2 linked regions of the Mytilus edulis genome follow. The protein of the gene in region 1 purifies or fractionates together with the protein of each later gene. This does not show direct contact. Links are inferred from orthologs where the notes say so. Each region holds a gene or a part of one and is shown in the gene's direction. Other genes may lie near its edges. The genes, in order: acyl carrier protein-like and LYR motif-containing protein 2-like.

Evidence for each region.
Region 2: the proteins of acyl carrier protein-like (region 1) and LYR motif-containing protein 2-like purify together in Homo sapiens (affinity purification with mass spectrometry; 3 studies listed by BioGRID and IntAct, counting the BioPlex papers as one, with this or other methods). This does not show direct contact. The link is inferred for Mytilus edulis from reciprocal best matches to the Homo sapiens genes NDUFAB1 and LYRM2.

What each region holds. Positions count from the first base shown.
Region 1 is NC_092352.1:77,013,761-77,023,629, forward strand, and holds the start of acyl carrier protein-like, read left to right. Parts: upstream 1-5,848; 5' UTR 5,849-5,889; coding exon 5,890-6,045; intron 6,046-9,869. Other genes in the region: uncharacterized protein, read left to right, coding at 1,173-1,338. UniProt on the Homo sapiens protein: Carrier of the growing fatty acid chain in fatty acid biosynthesis.
Region 2 is NC_092353.1:70,003,748-70,014,055, reverse strand, and holds LYR motif-containing protein 2-like, read left to right. Parts: upstream 1-5,855; 5' UTR 5,856-5,922; coding exon 5,923-5,961; intron 5,962-7,231; coding exon 7,232-7,372; intron 7,373-7,876; coding exon 7,877-7,951; 3' UTR 7,952-7,956; intron 7,957-8,882; 3' UTR 8,883-9,061; downstream 9,062-10,308. UniProt on the Homo sapiens protein: Involved in efficient integration of the N-module into mitochondrial respiratory chain complex I.

The sequences.
Region 1 (9,869 bases):
GTTTAACCCCGTCACATTATGTATGTTTGTGCCTATCCGAAGTCAGTAGCCTGTAATTCAGTTGTTGTCGTTTGTTGTTGTGTTACATACTTGTTTTTCGTTTATTTTTTTGTACATTAATTAGGCCGTTAATTTTCTCGTCTGGGGCCTTTTCATAGTTGTCTATGCGGTCTGAGCTTTGTGACTTATAGCTGTTAATATCTGTGTCATTTGGTCTCGTGTGGATAGTTATCTCATTAGCAATCTTACCATATCTTTTTTTTTTATATGTATAGGGATTAGATCGGACTGAATTGAATGACCATTGTAAGAAGATCATAGTATAAATGTTATCCAATATTTCATGTTATACGCAATGTTTTATATGTTTATTGGAATGTATAATGTTATACAAGTGATGAGACTTTAATAAAATATTGAATCTATAAAATCATTTCAACCGGTCGAATTGAATGACCATTGTAGGGTTCATATCTTAGGGTAAAAATAGTTTCAATCGGTCAACAATCTGAGCAACTATCGGACAATGTATTATATTCGTGTGTTTTTTTTTCATTCTGAGAACAAATACACCTGTTTTCATCACAAAGATAGAACATAGATCTATGTATTTCTAATTTTGAACTCGGGATAGGTAAATAGGTAAATAGGTAAATGGGGCTTTGAACATTGTTAGAAACTGGTAAAAAGACAAGTTTGCACATTTATCATACAAAGGTCGTAAGAATTTTGTTTAAAAACAAACGTTAATGTTGTAGAAAACTATAAAATTAAAATTCCGTGTACTAGAAAAATTCTTACATTGTAACATGGTTGGATTATAATTTAAAAAATGGCATAAACTATAAGACTGCAGCTGAGAGCTGTCCAGTCTGCTCATATAACTGAAATTCGGATTCATATATAAACCATATGTAATAAATAATTGCTCTTTTATAATTTCGGTTCGACTTACGGTAAATGTATCTGGCGGCTTTAACTGTTGGTGTAGATCCTTTTTTTATAAGGTTGATACATATTTGTACTCTTTACTTACATCAGTTGTATTCAAAAGGACATATAAAAGGGGGTATGCTTATTCGAGAAATTTTTTTTCTTACCAATTGATCTATCAAATGATTTGTTTAAATTAGCTTCTAGATTGTATGCGTTTTCTTTTTTTTTCTTTTTAGATTTTCAGTGGCAGACTGTGTATTGGGCTATAATATGTGGTGGGCATCGGAAATGAAAGAAGGAATTCTAATACAGAAGTACCCAGAATTACTGTCCTACTTAGAAAGACTGAAAAATCGTCCAGCATTTCAACAGACATGGAAGAGTTCTAAACCTGTGATGTAATAACTATTCTGAACTCAATTGTACCCAATCCAAGTTCCTGCAGACTATCTTTATCCAATCAATTTTTCAAAGAAGATCATAGAGATTGTCTTGAACTTACAGGCAAAAGTGGCAAACCAGTTGATATGGCGGTTGGGGGGGGGGGGGGTATTCGCAAAGTCATGATGATGGAGTAGAACGTTTTGCTTTTTGCTTTCCGTATTTTTAAGGTGGTATGGGTGTCTTCCTCCATCTTGGATTGTAAAAAACAGAGAATCAAAGGTCCAAATTTTCCATCAAGTTAGCAAAATTTGATGCAGGAATGCAGATGTTTAATGTACATTTTCATTTAAAAGTACCAATTTATAAGAATATAACTTCTAAATATTGATATTTTTGCAAATGTTAATTATTTTTGGTTGTTTTTTTTTTTTTTTTTTTTTTAAATTGGCATTTTAAGGGGAGGTAACTCTAAAAAAGTGCATTTTCTGAAGGATTCTGTATGGAATTTTCCTATTTTGTATTTTAGCCGGAAAAAACGTACGGTGACCCTATCTTTTCTTTTGATATTCTCAAAGCAGTGTCTGAAAGCTATCTTTTCCTGAAGTATTTAACAATTCTATCATTTTGTTTAGTTTCTAATCACAAAATGGTGTTTTTTCCTGTATAATCCATACAAAATGTGTCATTTTGTCCCGTCCTGTAGCTTGAGAAAATGCGCGGTGACCTATCATTTTTATTATATTTTTCAACATGTATCAATAGATATAACGTGTTGGCAAAGTATGAACAAATTCTATCATTTTTATTTAGACTCCCATACCACCTTAAACTTTAGAATCTCTTCAAATGCAATTGTATTACAACAAGCGATTGTTTCTCTGTCTGTGATCTTTAAGACAGTGAATTCAATATAATTAAGTATTATTGGTTATTGGCAAGTGTCGGATGGTCTACTGGAAAATTTGATGACAAAATACCGGTGAAACTGAATTTCGAACATGCTATGAACATGATGAAATAACATTATTCTTTTTGAGAATTTATAATTTATTTGAATAACTTATTCCCATGTGTAAGTGTTGGTCATATGCGTGACTTCTTTGTGTATCTTCTGTTGTCTTTTAAAGTTATCATATTATTTTGTTTTTGTTTACAAACTATATATATATGTATATATATATATTATGCAAGTCATTATTTTTGAAATTGCAATAAAACTATTTTGTTCTTGATATATTTGTTGTGTGATAAAATATGTCAAAAATATGGCTATTAAAATGACCCATAAGTTAATCCTAAAAACATCGTATACATGTAGTCATGATAGTGTTCAACATCACTATCAGGTTTCTAGTTCATCTAATTAGTTATTTTCAAGATGATTTCTTGTACCCCCTATTGTGTCTTTAAATAAACTCATGTTTTTGCTAGTTTTCTGTCGTACGTCTCAAAAGGGTATTATAGAAATTACACTAGATATCGAATTAGAAGGTACAATAATACTAGTAATGTTCATGCATATCTGTACAAAAGACCGAGGGTGACATGTTTTTATACATTTCTCAATCCGAAATTGACATTTTTTATTCCACTTCAGAATTTAGTGGTTGCCCGTATCGTTAATTTCGGATATATACAATTCTTAAAATATTTTTTGTTTAAGAAAACGATCATTCTTCAATTACTGTATAATGATTTATAAAACATCTGCGATATTTGACAGTCACCCAACGGATATTTTCTAAAAGTCGTAACTACAATCCTTGCCTCTTTTACCCACATGTGACTTATATTATCGAATTAGACGTATTATCGGTGTTGTAATAACATAACAGCAACAGTTTGTTATCGGCTTATGAGTTTGAATGTCCCTTGGGTATATTTTGCCTCTCTTTTGTTTACTTTTTACTAAGTTTATTTATTCGGATTAGTTTATTCATTTTTCTCTTACATGTTAAGAATCTAATCCATAAGCGTTAAAGAATGGATCGGCTCGCTGTCTCATAGCAATTAAAATATTGGAAAGGTAAAAGTGTCACCTGTATATGGTGCATAATATAACTTTCAAACTATGTTCCTTATAATGTGTGTCACACAGAGTCTAACTAATTAAAATAATAAAGATGCATTCATACTCATCAATCGAAAACAAATACAATGACATCATGGCAAAAAAAAACCACGATCAAATCACAAATAACAGTATAAACAATACAAAATAGATTTTGAAATAGATACCAAAGGGGCATTCAAACTCATCAGTCGATAACAAACTGACAAATCCATAGCTTAAAGGAAAAAGACAAATTGATAGATTGGGCAACATGATCCCGATCAAAAATCGGGGGGGGGGGGGGGGGTCTCATGTGCTCCGGAAGGGTGAGCAGATCCTGCCCCACAAGAGACACCCGTCGTGTTACTCTTGGAAAAACGTTGATAAGTCATATCAGGAGATCATAGGCATCACGCAATATATAGTGGAATGGTAGTTGACTCTTACACATGTAACCCTTAGACATCACCAAATTCATATACAATCGGTCAAGTAAATGTTCTAATCCTGAAACTTGGCCGAATGTAAATATTTGAAATAAAAACACGTTCGTCAGGACAAGCGATAGACAAAAATGTTACAATTATAAACAATACAGACATTGAAAAATAGAAGAAAAAAAATGTATAGTAGTCTTTAAATATTGGTTATAGCAAATCCATGGATACTGTGCACTCTCTTAGATTCTTCTCTCGTCCCTTTAGTGCATAGTAGAGAGCGATAGTATTTAAACTTGATGATTGTAATATGTGTGTCCAAATTTCTAGTGTAATAAAATTGAGGATGGAAATGTAGAATATGCCAAAGAGACAACCTCCCGACCATAGAGCAGAAAACAGCAGAAGTCCACCAATGGGTCTACAGGGAGAAAAGTTGCTTCAGTTGGTCCCTAAACAAAAATGTGTACTAGTTAAATGATAAAGAACGTCATACTAAACTCCGAAATATATAAATGAACTTTAATTAAAATTCATACAAGACTAACAAAGGCCATGTAGAAACTTGGGATAGGCGCAAAAATGCGGCGGGGTTAAACTTTTTTTTAATCTCATCAGTCCCACTATACATTAATAATGTATTTATATAACTTTTTAAATTATCATTTAATTAATAAAATATTAGTGTTATTTCCAATGGGCTGGTATATCTGGCACACCTTTTTATATACATTATATAACAAATAACAAAATTTTGTCGATGAATACTAAATAGTTTTATCTTTCGCTTTGTGCGTTATCCTCTGCGTTGTATTGTATTTAACAAAATAAGGATGACCCTAAGCTATCCATCATGCAGATATCAAATGTCGTGAATGTAGGCAGCAATAGAATACTATACGACATTCAACAATGAAAAATAAAATTGACTGAATGAAAATGGAAAATATGTCAAAGAGATAACAACCCTGGACCAAAGAGCAGAAAACAGCTCAATGCCGTGAGAAAATCCCACAACCGGAGGTGGACCTCAGCTGACCCCTCAATAAAAATGTGTACTATTTCAGTGAAAATGAACGTACTAAACACTAAAACATTTAAATGAACAAAATTTGAAAATAACATACAACGGCTTGAGGAATACTTTTGCGTCTTCTCTTTTTTTAACGATGGTCCTGGAAAAGAAAACTGCTGTTTTAACGAAAAATGTTCAATTGTAAAAAAAATATCTCTGATTTTAAACTTCATCCATTAACTTTGATATACATAACTGTTTTGAAATTGGTACATTCAAATTGTCTATCCAACGCACGTGTTTTAAGCATTATATTCGTGTTTCGACTTCTGCTTTTGATAACGATTGATAAGAAAAGAAAATTGCTGTCATAAAAACTATTCAAAAGTAAAAAAAACTCTGACTTAATAGTTATCAAAAGTACCAGGGTTCCAGGATTATCATTTTTAATACGCCAGACGCGCGTTTCGTCTACATAAGACTCATCAGTAACGCTCAGATCAAAATAGTTATAAAGCCAAACAAAAAAGTGCAAAGTTGAAGAGCATTGAGGACCCAAAAGTGGTACCTTGTCAAATGCTTTAGCAAAGTCTAGCAGGATGATGTCTACTTGGCCGCAGCTTTTTCATTTTGATGCAATGTCGTTGATGGTTACGATTAGTTGGGATTCGCATGGTCGTCTTTTGCGGAATCCGTGTTGTGCATCAGCAGAGACATATAATACATTGTATTATATGTCTCTGGCATCAGTTAGTATTTTATTTTTGTCTGATATTTTGTCTTAACTTGTCTGATATTTTGTCTTAACTTTTTGACTAATCATTATCAAATTCTCATTAAAAATAAATCATGTTTATGAAAAAAAAAATATATGTTGGAAGAAATCAATATTCGATTTTATAACTGGAAATGTCATCAACGACCTTAATAATTTTATTTTAATTACGTTATTGTGCGTTGTCAACTTCAAATTTAGTACGGTTATCAACTATCTCTTTTCCGGAAATTACACAAGCGTGCACCATCTATGTTTTGCCATTTAAATAAGGTGAAGGTCACTAAAAATGGCAACTGTTGTGAGGAACGTGCGAGCTCTGTTTAAATTTCACCCAACAGTTCTTAGACGATCGATTTGTAGATTTAGTGCAGTGTCATATGTACATAATAGACATCAAACAAATGAACTATGTTGCTTGAATTCTCACAAACTTCTATCCAAGGTAGATATCTGAGTTTTCGGCCTACACTTTTTTGAAGGACACAAGCATGATCTGTAGAAAAATCATGTGTTTTTGAGTACTTCAGCTAAATATTATTGTTTCTTTTTGTACAAAAAATATTCTGCAAATAACATGTAAGGATCACCAACAAAAGACCATTTCATTATCATAGTTTGCAAATATGAATATTGATATAATCAAATAATCCTTCAAACATGTCAAACATTTTCAAAAGGACAATGAAAAAAGTAGCAAAACAGCCCCTGCAAATATATTTTCCAGTATTTCTTAACACAATGAGGATTAAAAGAATTTGGATCACAACATGCAAGGTGTTTTTTACTGTCAACGTTTTTAAATTTTTCAAACTTTTATCCATCATTCCATGCAGATTCCTATTCAGTGGCTGAGTGGTCAAAATAGTTACTACAGTAGACTCCACCTAATCGGATATCGGCTAAACGAATATATCGGCTATTGTAATATTATTTCAAAACACCGAACCATTCCCTATACATTTCAGTCAAAATACATCGGATAATCAAATATCGGTTATTAGAATATATCGGCTAATTGGATAGGAATATTCATGAAAAATGTGTGAAAACCATGTACAATCGAATATTTTGAAATAATTTCATATTTTTCTCGAGAAGAAATGAAGCCGGAAGTTGTGCCATTACGAAGTTTAAGAAAACTTCAGTACAGAAATGTTTCATTTTATTAATAAAACGATCTTTTATAGTCAAATAAAACCTGTTTCTTCTTGTTTTCTTGTTTATTTTATGAATCTGATATTAATTTTGCCTAAGATGTGTTTGTTATGTGTTTATCCAAATGTGATCGTTATCATTTACTTCACAAACAAGGACACGACAGAAATAATAAACTGTGCGTGATGTTCATCAATATTTATTAAATATGAATGAAAAGTACCTCTTTCTCAACAATTTATTAAAATATATATAAAAGTCCCGTGTAAAAATAAGGAATCGTGTGTCAATAGCATATCCCAGGTGAAATAGAATTATGTATGTACACATGTACGCCATTTTCCTAATTTACATAATATTCAGCCTTTTATTTTGAACCACGACAGATAAGATAGAAAAGTAAATTAATTTTACTCATCTTGATGTCCAATTTTATAATCATAAAAGTAGTTGTATTACTTAAAATTGGAAATGTGTTTCATAAATAAAAAACTGTAGAAAATTAGATCCGAGTTGGATCAACTTCTTAAGCTATTAATAGATTTACCTGTGGCCTACTTCCGAGAATTCATAGTTATTTTTAGCTTTTACCTGTTTTAACACACAAATGAAACAAATCACGCAAAAACAACAAGTCTCATTATTTAAGAGGTACATATTTTATTCAGATAATTAAAGGGAAACTTCGCAAAAAAATCAAAAATTGATATTATGTCCATTCTGTATAAAAATGCTCAAATTTATAGATATTAAAGTTTTATTCCGTTAAATAAGAGATCACCATCGATTTTAAATTTTGAGTATCAGTTCTCTACTCTCCGCCATCTTGTCACCTTCTCCGATGAAAAATCCCGATATGTCAATAAACCACAAAGGAACAAAACTACAGTAAACGATGTAGTCGTAATTGCGTGTCGATATCTTGTCAATCGTACGGTTGTTTTATCTGACTGACTAACTTGATACGGAAAATGGTTATATATTTTTAAATAACCATATAGTCTGTTATTTTTAAACTGATAATATTGTAATTAGTTAAAAAGTTCAAATCATAAAATGATAAATAAGTGTTCCGTGGAAATTGTTTTCGAAAATCTAATTCGTTCATAATTCTTTCAAGTAATAAACTTTATTTAAATAAATTCGGATCTTCCCTTATCTGATCACCAGCATGGCTAAAGGTATTACTCCCAAAGGTATTGGAAGGGGTGTAAGGTGACACGTCCAGGTATTCAATCGATTTCCTGTCCGGCGGGCTTGCAAGTTCATGCATCGTTTCACTTCTGTAGGTATTGATCAGTGTACACGACCGTTACTTATAACTTTCCATTTTGAACTATCAGGTGCATGTATAATATACATTTTTGTCTTGCGTGTCCGAAAGTGATATAATATACTAGTCATTACTGAACTCATACGCTTGTTTATAAATAACATTTCTGGTGTAAAGAATATTATTTATAAAAAAAAAATAATACAAAAAAAAATAATTGAAGAAATACAAATCTATTTACATATTTTTCCAAGGGTTAATTTGGGAAAATGTAATATATACTCGTTGTCAATAGTTTAGGACAGATTGGAACATTACAGAATTATTGATCTAAAAAAATGTGCGCACTTGTCGACGATTCGTGTATACATACGCCTGGTAGAAAGTTACGGAACTATAGTCAGTAGCGCAATTTAAAATATGTATACATGTATACATTGAACATAAGAAAGAAACATACATTTTGTGTAAATTGTGGTAAAAGTTTTGTAAATAGACTAGTCCATGTATGCCAACAGTATGTAATCAACGAATTCGATAGACTATTGTATACCAAAAGAAGAAGAAGAAAAAAAAGAAACAATTTCATTTAATTACAGGTCAATTTATAACTTGCTTTGGTTCATCGAAGTTAAGAACATAGTAAACTCACAGATTTATATATCAATTAAATTGTTCTCGAATAAAGGACGAAATTCGTCATCATCACAATTGTTCCAACATTCATGTAAAACATATGCAACTGGACGTACACTAATAATCCCCAAGGAATGTGAATATTTTCTAGGAAAACTATTGAGTATCAATTTCGGGATTTATTTTCTTTCTTGATATTCAATGACAGCAATTTAAAGAATAAACTGCTTGTCGGATATTTGTCCGCTTTAGGGGTATTCTTGCAAGTTGAACAGACTTATAATAACATTCAAAAATAGGGAAAGATAACATTAAATTCGTTGTCTTTTAATTTTAAACATCGTTGATCAAATAGTTATTTAAATATATATATACGTTGGGAGACGACGATTATTATAGTTGTCTCAGATTTTAATAAGGACGTTCCCCATTATGAATAAATTTGGTTGACGTTTATCACACTTGAAAAGAATATCTATTCGTAATTTTTCGATTCCATTACAAACATATTTTTTTCTTTATTCACACATATTATATTCCGCTTCGGTAGAGTTATCTTCAGATAGTTTCATATATTAATTAATACATGGCTTTCAAAAGTCTAAATGTAAGTGTTCTCGTACATTTTTTCGCCTAATAAAGACAAATAAAAATGATTTAGTAAAGCTATTTCTAATTTCTAAGTCCCCCTTTTTTATGAGACATAAATCAAGGACAAGACTTGTATATCATTTCATTCTGACATATGAATTAAGTTTCCCGTCTTTAACCGAAAATTGTGTATTTCTTAGTAAATTAACTTATTTGAATTCAAATAAATAATAGCACCAAATATAATTAAATAATTCCACGGCGACCAATTTTTATTTGTCACCAACTTGAATATGTATTTTTAATGTGTGTATTAAATGCTACCACTGATCCGAATAGACAGTCACACCTGGCAAGGTGTGCCCTAGAGGCGTGGTTAAATACCGAAGTGCAAATAACAATTTACCTTTCAACAAGCCATCTACGAGTATTGCCACAGAACCGTGAATACACACATCGTATAAACCTAGCCATAGCAGAGATAGTAAAAGGTCCATAATAGTACACCAACATATTGTCTTTACAGATTATTGTACTTTAATTTGTTCACCTTATCAGTCCGAAAATGCATTTATTAAAAATAAATTTATAACTTTTTGTGTTGTCTACAA
Region 2 (10,308 bases), on another chromosome or scaffold:
AGAAATCGCCACAGTGGTGTTATATAGTACAACACAAGAACAAACTATAACAATCAGTTGAAAAGTGCTCAACTCATCGGATCGACGAAAAGCTAAAAAAAAAAAATAACCAAACGCAGACTAGACGTGGCAGAGTATTTATACATTTCACACTTGTATAAATTACAACTGTCTTTTACATATTGAATAATAACTCACCTTGATAAAAGAGAAAAATGGATATCTGTTCCCGAAAAAATATTTCCATCCAGTCATTATGAATATTTTTATTGTTGGAATTAGAAATTTAAATTCCTTCATTGAGAAAGGTTTATTTTACAACTGGTGGTGGACATGGATTTTTTCACACCTGTTTCTGAGGGGGAGGACAGGGGTAAGGGAGACAGGGAGAAAGGGGGTAGGAGAAAGGAGAAAGGGGTAGGAGAAAGGAGAGGAAGGCTGGGAGAAAGGAGAAAGTGTGTAGGAGAAAGGAGAGGAAGGCTGGGAGAAAGGAGAAAAAATAAAATATCTCTCCTTTAAAAAAATTTCTAATATTTCAAGAAAAAATATCCCAAAAGAAGATGTTTTATTCTAATGGGAGAAAGGAGAAGAGGGGTGGGAGAAGGGAGAAGGGTACCCCCTGTCCTCCCCTTCGTTTCTTAGCTCTGTTTGTAGGCGAGAAAAATGTCTGAAAAAATGTAAAAACTCAAATCTATTTATTTTTCCAGCTAAAATCTGTAAAATTAATAATATTGCTTAAATGTTTTAAAATATCTTTTTTTATGTAACAAAAAAGACGCAAAAGTACAAAACTGAGAATACCCCAAATTACTGACAACTAGCTGAAAGCCAATAATAACTAATAAAAAACCATGCATCTAAGACTAAAATATCAATCAGTACACATTTAATATCCAATGAATTTGGTGTAAAAACGTCATTAACAGTCAGAGAAAATTCTTTCTTTTGGTTATAAGTGTTCATGTTCATTTGAGAAAAATGAACAAAATATAAAGTTAATGATATCACAGTGGCACCCATAACAACTATGTTTTGTCAATAACTTGGTTTATATCAGGTTAATTAGTGTAAATGTGTATTCATGTGGTTTTTTGTTCAAATGTACTTTAATCATTCTAATCATTTTCTGTGCTTTATTTTGTAATTCATTTGATTATATAGCTCAAATTTTGGGCACCATGATTGGTTAATAAAATTATCTATCTATCTATCTATCTTGCACTATATAAAATCTTATGGAAGTTTAATGTCTACTGTGATTTTTATAAAGTTTACGATATTGGATGTTCTCTAACATGTTGGTAATCTAGTGATTTAACCTTATGGAATGTACTTTATACATGAAAAGTATGACCACAAGGCGACGTCCCTAGATGAATGTAATGGTTTTGTCAGTTTTTGTGGGGTAAGGCCTTCGCCAATAAGTGCGATTTCTTTGCAACAATTTATATTTTAAATGTATTTTCAAAGTTCAAGAGAACATCTATCTGGTGATACAGAATTTGAATGTAAAAAATAAGGTTAGTCATAGCTAGTGCATCTGCGGTATGGTGGCCGTTCGTTGCTGTATTATTAGATATTACAGCATTTTCATGGTATATTGAAGAATTAACATTTCTTCTGTAAATCTCTGTAAAAAAATTAATATTGTGGTCATCCCAGTCAGAGTGAGACCCTCCTAAAGTCCCGTATACCTTCCCTACTGCCAATGTTTTTGGAATTGCATACCAAGCATACATATGTCATGTATGTATCATTGATTTATACAATATCTTAAATATGACCCATGCTTATGCATGTTATAAGCGCTATATAAATCTATATCATTCCTCATAATTTAAGGATTTTAGTTTAAGATTTTTCAAAGGCGAACATTTGGCCATCAACAAAGTGAAATTCTAGAAAGTATATTTATTCAATATGATATGTAGATCATACCCCAAATCAAATGTAATGTATTTTAATATAGGATGTCATTGAAAAGGGGAGTCATTTTTTTTAATGTATTTTAATATAGGATGTCATTGAAAAGGGGAGTCATTTTCTTTTTATAAAATCTCGCAAAAATTATGACCCATAGTTTTGCCCCCCCCCCCCCCCCCCCCCCAAATACGTTTAATATTATTCAAAATTATTTTTAACCAGATGCTCCGCAGGGCGTAGCTTTATACGACCGCAGAGGTTGAACCCTGAACGGTTGGGGCAAGTATGGACACAACATTCAAGCTGGATTCAGCTCTAAATTTGGATTGTGATTAAATAGTTGACACAGCATAGGTTTCTGACACAGAATGAATGTGTTCTAATGAACTTAAAATTTTTGTTTTCTCTTAGAGCAATTCACTATGCTGTTGAATATTAATCCTCTAAAAAAAAGGTTTGAAGAAATTTTCTTTTTTATTTATGAAATTTCAAATGAGAAAAATTGAACCCAATTTTTTTAATCACATCCCCCTTTCCCTTATTCCAAAACTAATCTCAATTAAAATTTCTAATGGAGTTTGCAACAATAACTACTCATTTAAATACATCATAAAATATTAAGATGTAAAAAAACTGCTTGTTATCACTGAATGGTAAAGATTATTTTAATTTATCAGTTGGTAGTAAAAAGTGAATATACATTGTATATTGTATATAACAAAGATTTAAGTTGATTCTGGACAAAGAAAGATAACTCCAATTAAAAAAAAATCTTGCTATTGCACAATATTTTGCAATTAGATATTTCTTGCTTACTATTCTGAACAAAGAAAGATAACTCTAATTAAAAAAAAATTTGCTGTTTCACAATATTGTGCAATTAGATATTTCTTGCCATAGCGCAATACTGTGCAATTGAAAAGACTTGCTATTGCACAATACTTAATATAATAATTTTAGATCCTGATTTGGACCAACTTGAAAACTGGGCTCATAATAAAAAATCTAAGTACATTTTTGGATTCAGCATATCAAAGAACCCCAAGATTTCTATTTTTGTTAAAATCAGACTAAGTTTAATTTTGGACCCTTTGGACTTTAGTGTAGACCAATTTGAAAACAGGACCAAAAATGAAGAATATACATACACAGTTAGATTTGGTATATCAAAGAACCCCATTTATTCAATTTTTGATGAAATCAAACAAAGTTTAATTTTGGACCCCGATTTGGACCAACTTGAAAACTGGGCCAATAATCAAGAATCTAAGTACATTTTTAGATTCAGCATATCAAAGAACCTAACTGATTCATTTTTTGTCAAAATCAAACTAAGTTTAATTTTGGACCCTTTGGACCTTAATGTAGACCAATTTGAAAACGGGACCAAAAGTTAAGAATCTACATACACAGTCATGACAGTTAGATTCGGCATATCAAAGAACCCCAATTATTCAATTTTGATGAAATCAAACAAAGTTTAATTTTGGACCCTTTGGGCCCCTTATTCTGTTGGGACCAAAACTCCCAAAATCAATACCAACCTTCCTTTTATGGTCATAAACCTTGTGTTTAAATTTCATAGATTTCTATTTACTTATACTAACGTTATGGTGCGAAAACCAAGAAAAATGCTTATTTGGGTCCCTTTTTGGCCCCTAATTCCTAAACTGTTGGGACATTAACTCCCAAAATCAATACCAACCTTCCTTTTGTAGTCATTAACATTGTGTTTAAATTTCATTGATTTCTATTTACTTAAACTAAAGTTATTGTGCGAAAACCAAGAATAATGCTTATTTGGGCCCTTTTTTGGCCCCTAATTCCTAAACTGTTGAAACCAAAACTCCCAAAATCAATCCCAACCGTTATTTTGTGGTCATAAACCTTGTGTCAAAATTTAATAGATTTCTATTAACTTAAACTAAAGTTATAGTGCGAAAACCAAGAAAATGCTTATTTGGGCCCTTTTTGGCCCCTAATTCCTAAAATGTTGGGACCAAAACTCCCAAAATCAATACCAACCTTCCTTTTGTGGTCATAAACCTTGTGTTAAAATTTCATAGATTTCCATTCACTTTTACTAAAGTTAGAGTGCGAAAACTAAAAGTATTCGGACGACGACGACGACGACGACGACGATGACGATGACGACGACGACGCCAACGTGATAGCAATATACGACGAAAATTTTTTCAAATTTTGCGGTCGTATAAAAATGATATAACTTAGCAGGAAGTAGAATTGATATAAAAATGAGATCAAAGTTCTCAATAAACATAAAGTTAACCGTTGGTTCAAAAGTAAATTTCAACAATTTCTATTTCTACAAATTTCGGATTAAACCTTACCGGATCACGTCTCTACGTAATGACGTGTATCAACAGCTTGCTTCTGTAATCATGGTAATACTGCGATGCCAAGTTGGACAAACATTTGAGAGGTTGAGGCATGTTCTAGATACGGAATAGATTTGTCTCCCTTGCAACATTTAATTACTTAGTATATATATATTGTTGACATTTTAAGAGAGTATATAACAATGTATATATTTAAAAAAAAAAAAAGAAAGAAAAAAACGTCTAGAAAATTACCATAATTTTAACAACATATATATATAATGCATGAATGAATGATAACATTTATTCATATGAAGTGGATGGATGCAGCTGGGAGTTGAACCACAGGCGCTTGGGTCTAGGATACAGATTTTTTTTTTTTTTTTTTTATTAAAATATTCAATTTTCTATATTTATAATACATATCTATCACTTCTGTGCATGTCTCACCTAGTTTCGAGTGATTTAAACGACCCAGAGAAAATACCCAATTTTACTATCCATACTAAGAAACAAAGTATGGATAGTAAAATTGGGTATTTTCTCTGGGTCGTTTAAATCACTCGAAACTAGGCGAGACATGCACAGAAGTGATAGATATGTATAACGAATTAGGAAGACTGCCTATTGAATGTCCTATAAAAACCCAAACTATTATGTATTTAGCAAGGCTTTTCACCTCAAATTTGAATCCCTTATTACATGAATCTTTTCAATTAACTAAAACTTTGGATTCTAGTGGCTCCTATTCATGGTTCACTTTTGCAAAAGATATTCTTTCTGAATCTAACATTGATATAGATAGACTAAAAACCTGTAATAATTTAAAACAATTAAAAAATATTAAAAGCTATATTAAACCCCAAATAAACTCATATTACAACAACCTGTTGATGGATAAGTTGAAATCTATTGATGATAAAAGTAAATTAAATTTTTATAAAGGACTTGAGGCAAATCTATTGATCAAACCTTACCTCTCTAACCCAAACTTTGAATTTAGAAAATTAATTACAAAACTTAGACTCAGTGACCATTCATTATTAATTGAAAAAGGAAGGCATTTTAAAATTCCTCGCGAAGAGAGACTTTGCAAAAAATGCAAAGTACTAGATGATGAGAAACATTTCTTAATAAATTGTTCTCATAATTCAAATATTAGATTTACATATTTTAATTGCATTAACAGAGAAAGTAATTCATTTGCTAATCTCACTGACAATGACAAAGTTATATATATACTTAACCAATCAACACCAACACAAGTGAATAAACTAGGATCCTTTATAAAAAAGTCAATGGAACTGAGGACAGGGGACCCTTTAATATTTACCTGAATTTGTGTATATATATTGAGAGACTTAGTTATTGTCTTTCTTTGTTTTTGTTGTTGTTATATGTCACAAACTGTATAGTTTATATGGCAATAAAACTTTGAATTGAATTATAAATATAGAAAATTGAATATTTTAATAATAAAAAAAAAATCTGTATCCTAGACCCAAGCGCCTGTGAGTTGAACATTGCAAGAACGATTATTTAAATACAGACAGTCACAGCATTTCGTTTACTTGATTTACCATAAAAATAAATCGAGTTATCTCCCATCTAACAACGATTTTTAAAACAAACATTTTATGGCTAGTGGATTCAATTTAAAATGGCATCACAAGCACCTCACATGATGTCTTTAACAAAGGTATAGTATGTTAATAGATATAATGTGATTGTTTTTGGATAAGTGTGCACTGTTTTATCGTGTAAAAACAAGTGACTGAACGGTAGACGCAAGATGAGAAATAGTCTCAAAGGGAGTTAATTCATAGTATTTAGCTTAGATGTTGTTAAGGCCATAGAAATAAATATGTGTTGTTATTTTTAGATTTTTTTTTTTAGTTATTGTTACTTTACGTTCAGGGAAAAATATTTTAAAGTACAAACAATGTACTATTCCCTAGTCAAAATAAGTATAACGTCTTGAAAGGATATATGTATACCATGTATACGTTTTTGCTTTTAGCCATACAACAAGTCGCTGTAGCAAATAAGTATAATTATTTTGACTATATAACTATCCCCTTTTAAATAACTTAATTGTACTTTATTCTGCAATAAACCAACTGTTGTACAAATAGCACCGAGAACCACCTGGGAGTACTAGTACACATCGGGTGTTCTGTTTTACTTGTACTTCTACAATTTTAAAGTCTTCTGTTCTGAGCAAACGTTTGTGTGACAGTTGATTTTGGGGGTCCTGTCCTCTTCCTGGTCTGCGTTTAAACTACAAATGAACTAGATATTCCGATTTCTAAAATGAGAAATAAGAAATAACTATTTAGATTTAAACAACTAAACCTTAAAGTGCCGCTTCTAAATTTCATAAACAAATGCATTGTAGGAAATTAAAAGGTATGTGTTATGCGAGCCTCTCTTTTCGTCTGCATGGTTTCTAAAGCTCATTCACCTAAATTTTTATAGTTTCCTACAATGCACAATTTTGCTTTCATCCTGCAATTACAAGCGAAATGAATTGGAAAACAAATAAGATGCACGGGAAATATTCCCATATGATTAATATTTTCAAAATTTGAAACTACATTAGTTGATGATGACAAAATAGAGGGCAAGTTTGGTATAAATTTACGATTTTCACATTTACCGCCCTGAAAAGGTAAGACAATCACACACAACGTGCAGTAAGCTATGAACCGTTCAACAAATATATGCCGCCAAATTTTAATATGCTGTTACTGATGACAAAATAGTTGTCCAATTTAACGATTTTCACTTTCTGGAGTTAAGGGTTACTATGATCTTTGATAGATTGGAAGAAAGTACCGGTATACACTGACAAATAATAAGTTGCATGGTATGAAAATTTATATGTAAAACTTATAAATATTATATAACATTTGTATAAATGAACAAAGCAACCAAAACTGTAAATTTTTTTGAATGCTATTTTCTAGTTTATGCTGAGGTCAGAAGTTTTAAAATTGTATAGAAGTATGTTGAGAGTTGTTCGGAGAATTCCAGATAAAAGTCAACAGAAGGAACTTATAGAATGGATTAGACATGATTTTACTGCTAACAAACACTTAGAAGATGAGGTAGGATTTAGATTCTGTCTTCGGTGATAGGTGATTGGACTTGTTCTTTGATCTTTATGTCATTATGCTGTCATTTATAAATAAGTGCACCAAGTCTTCTTTGTCCCCTTTATTCTCGATCTTTAGCCTTTTATTCTCTTTTCTACATAAAACCTTGCGAAATTATCCCTACCTCATTAAGGTAACCCCCCCCCTTCCACCACCACCCCTGGCATGGCACCGATATCAATACATGAAATTTTTCTTTGTTTTAAATTTCAAGAATTTATCGAATATTGATGCCTTTCAGAAGTTTTCCCGTGTGCCAATTACATTTTGTCACCATTTAGCATGATCGAGACATAGTTTGCATTCATTTACAGCTTTGTGCGAATTTGAGGGAAAGAGTTTTGAAAGTCTCTTTGGTACCTACAGCCTCTTTTTGGGCAATGTAAGTTATATTTTCTGTGAAAATTTTAAAATTATGATTAAATTAAAAATACCAAACATTTTGTTCTGTTGTAGGATGCTATTAAAATGATGATAACAAAAGGAAAACAGTCTATGAGAGAACTGGAGCAGTCCATATCTATTTTATGAAAATGGTAAGCTTAACTCACACCTTTGTGAAAATTGAATATACCATAAGTACCAATTCCCCTCAATGTGTATTTCCCGGCAAGAACATTGAGAATGTGGACAGGCAATGTGTCAAAGATACACCAACCGATCAAATGGCAGCAAACTTGTATTGTTTACCAGCACCAATTTTTAACTATAGTAACATTGTTATAATAGTCAGATTACGTCAAATTTTAACATTTTATCATTATTTCCGATAAAATTGGTTATAAGTGATGCCACCAAAGCTTAATTCCTGTCAAAATTTATTTCAGAAGGAAAGCGCATAATAAATAACTTGTAAACATTTTGACTTTAGAAATGATGAAAACTCTCATTAAGTGCTTCTTTAATTTTGAAATCCCACGAGGTTATGAATGCTGAGCCTCATTGATAGAACATAGAGAACAGTGTTATACACGAGGGTAGTAATGGGGGTACCTACATGACGAATAACGGTAAAAAATCTTGCAAAATGACGTTAACGGTATTTTTAGGTGCGTGACGATAAAATATGCACTTTCTTTTAGAGGATAATTTTTTTTGACGAATCACGTTAATTTTTTTCCAAAAATAACGGTAACGATAATTATTTGACACCTCTGACGAATCACGATAAGGATATTTTGACGAATCACGGTAAAATTTAAATCAATTTGACGCTAACGGTACCCGAAAATGGCCGTTTGACGCCTGACGGTAAAAGGCATTACTACCCTCATACATATGGAATCAAATTGCCCTTTTCTGAATTCTTATAAATACAAATTGTCACTGAATTTAAGGAAGCATACAATGGACTTTTATTGTATTGTTCAGAACAAAGATTATATAAAAAAGAAAATAAAAGTTCTGCTTCATTTGATAAAATATATTACTATTAAAATAGATGTATACACTTTTTTTGTAGGATTACATTTCAATGACTGACACAGGAAGTTGAAACTAGGGTTTAGCCCTGTGGTGCTGACATGAATGGTGGACCCTTTCGTTGTGGAATAAATGTAGACCTTTTAGGTCACATTTCTATTCGCTGGAAAACTCATTTAATTGAATGTGAAAAAGAAATAAAGAATATTGTTTAACTTTTCCCTTTTGCTGTGTTTTTTAAGCTCACCTGGCCCGAAGGGCCAAGTGAGCTTTTCCCATCACTTTGCGTCCGTCGTCCGTCGTCGTCCGTCGTCGTCGTTAACTTTTACAAAAATCTTCTCCTCTGAAACTACTGGGCCAAATTAAACCAAACTTGGCCACAATCATCATTTGGGTATCTAGTTTAAAAAATGTGTCCGGTGACCCGGCTTACCAACCAAGATGGCCTCCATGGCTAAAAATAGAACATAGGGGTAAAATGCAGTTTTTGGCTTATAACTCAAAAACCAAAGCATTTAGAGCAAATCTGACATGGGGTAAAATTGTTTATCAGGTGAAGATCTATCTGCCCTGATATTTTCAGATGAATCGGACAACCCGTTGTTGGGTTGCTGCGCCTGAATTGGTAATTTTAAGGAAATTTTGCTGTTTTTTATACGACCGCAAAAATTTTAATTTTTCGTCGTATATTGCTATCACGTTGGCGTCTGCGTCGTCGTCGTCGTCGTCGTCGTCGTCCGAATACTTTTAGTTTTCGCACTCTAACTTTAGTAAAAGTGAATAGAAATCTATGAAATTTTAACACAAGGTTTATGACCACAAAAGGAAGGTTGGGATTGATTTTGGGAGTTTTGGTCCCAACATTTTAGGAATTAGGGGCCAAAAAGGGCCCAAATAAGCATTTTCTTGGTTTTCGCACTATAACTTTAGTTTAAGTAAATTGAAATCTATGAAATTTTGACACAAGGTTTATGACCACAAAAGGAAGGTTGGGATTGATTTTGGGAGTTTTGGTTCCAACAGTTTAGGAATTAGGGGCCAAAAAAGGGCCCAAATAAGCATTATTCTTGGTTTTCGTACAATAACTTTAGTATAAGTAAATAGAAATCAATGAAATTTAAACACAAGGTTTATGAACACAAAAGGAAGGTTGGGATTGATTTTGGGAGTTTTGGTCCCAACAGTTTAGGAATTAGGGGCCAAAAGGGGGCCCAAATAAGCATTATTCTTGGTTTTCGCACCATAACTTTAGTATTAGTAAATAGAAATCTATGAAATTTAAACACAAGGTTTATGACCATAAAAGGAAGGTTGGATTTTGATTTTGGGAGGTTTGGTCCCAACAGTTTAGGAATAAGGGGCCCAAAGGGTCCAAAATTGAACTTTGTTTGATTTCATCAAAAATTGAATAATTGGGGTTCTTTGATATGTCGAATCTTACTGTGTATGTAGATTCTTAATTTTTG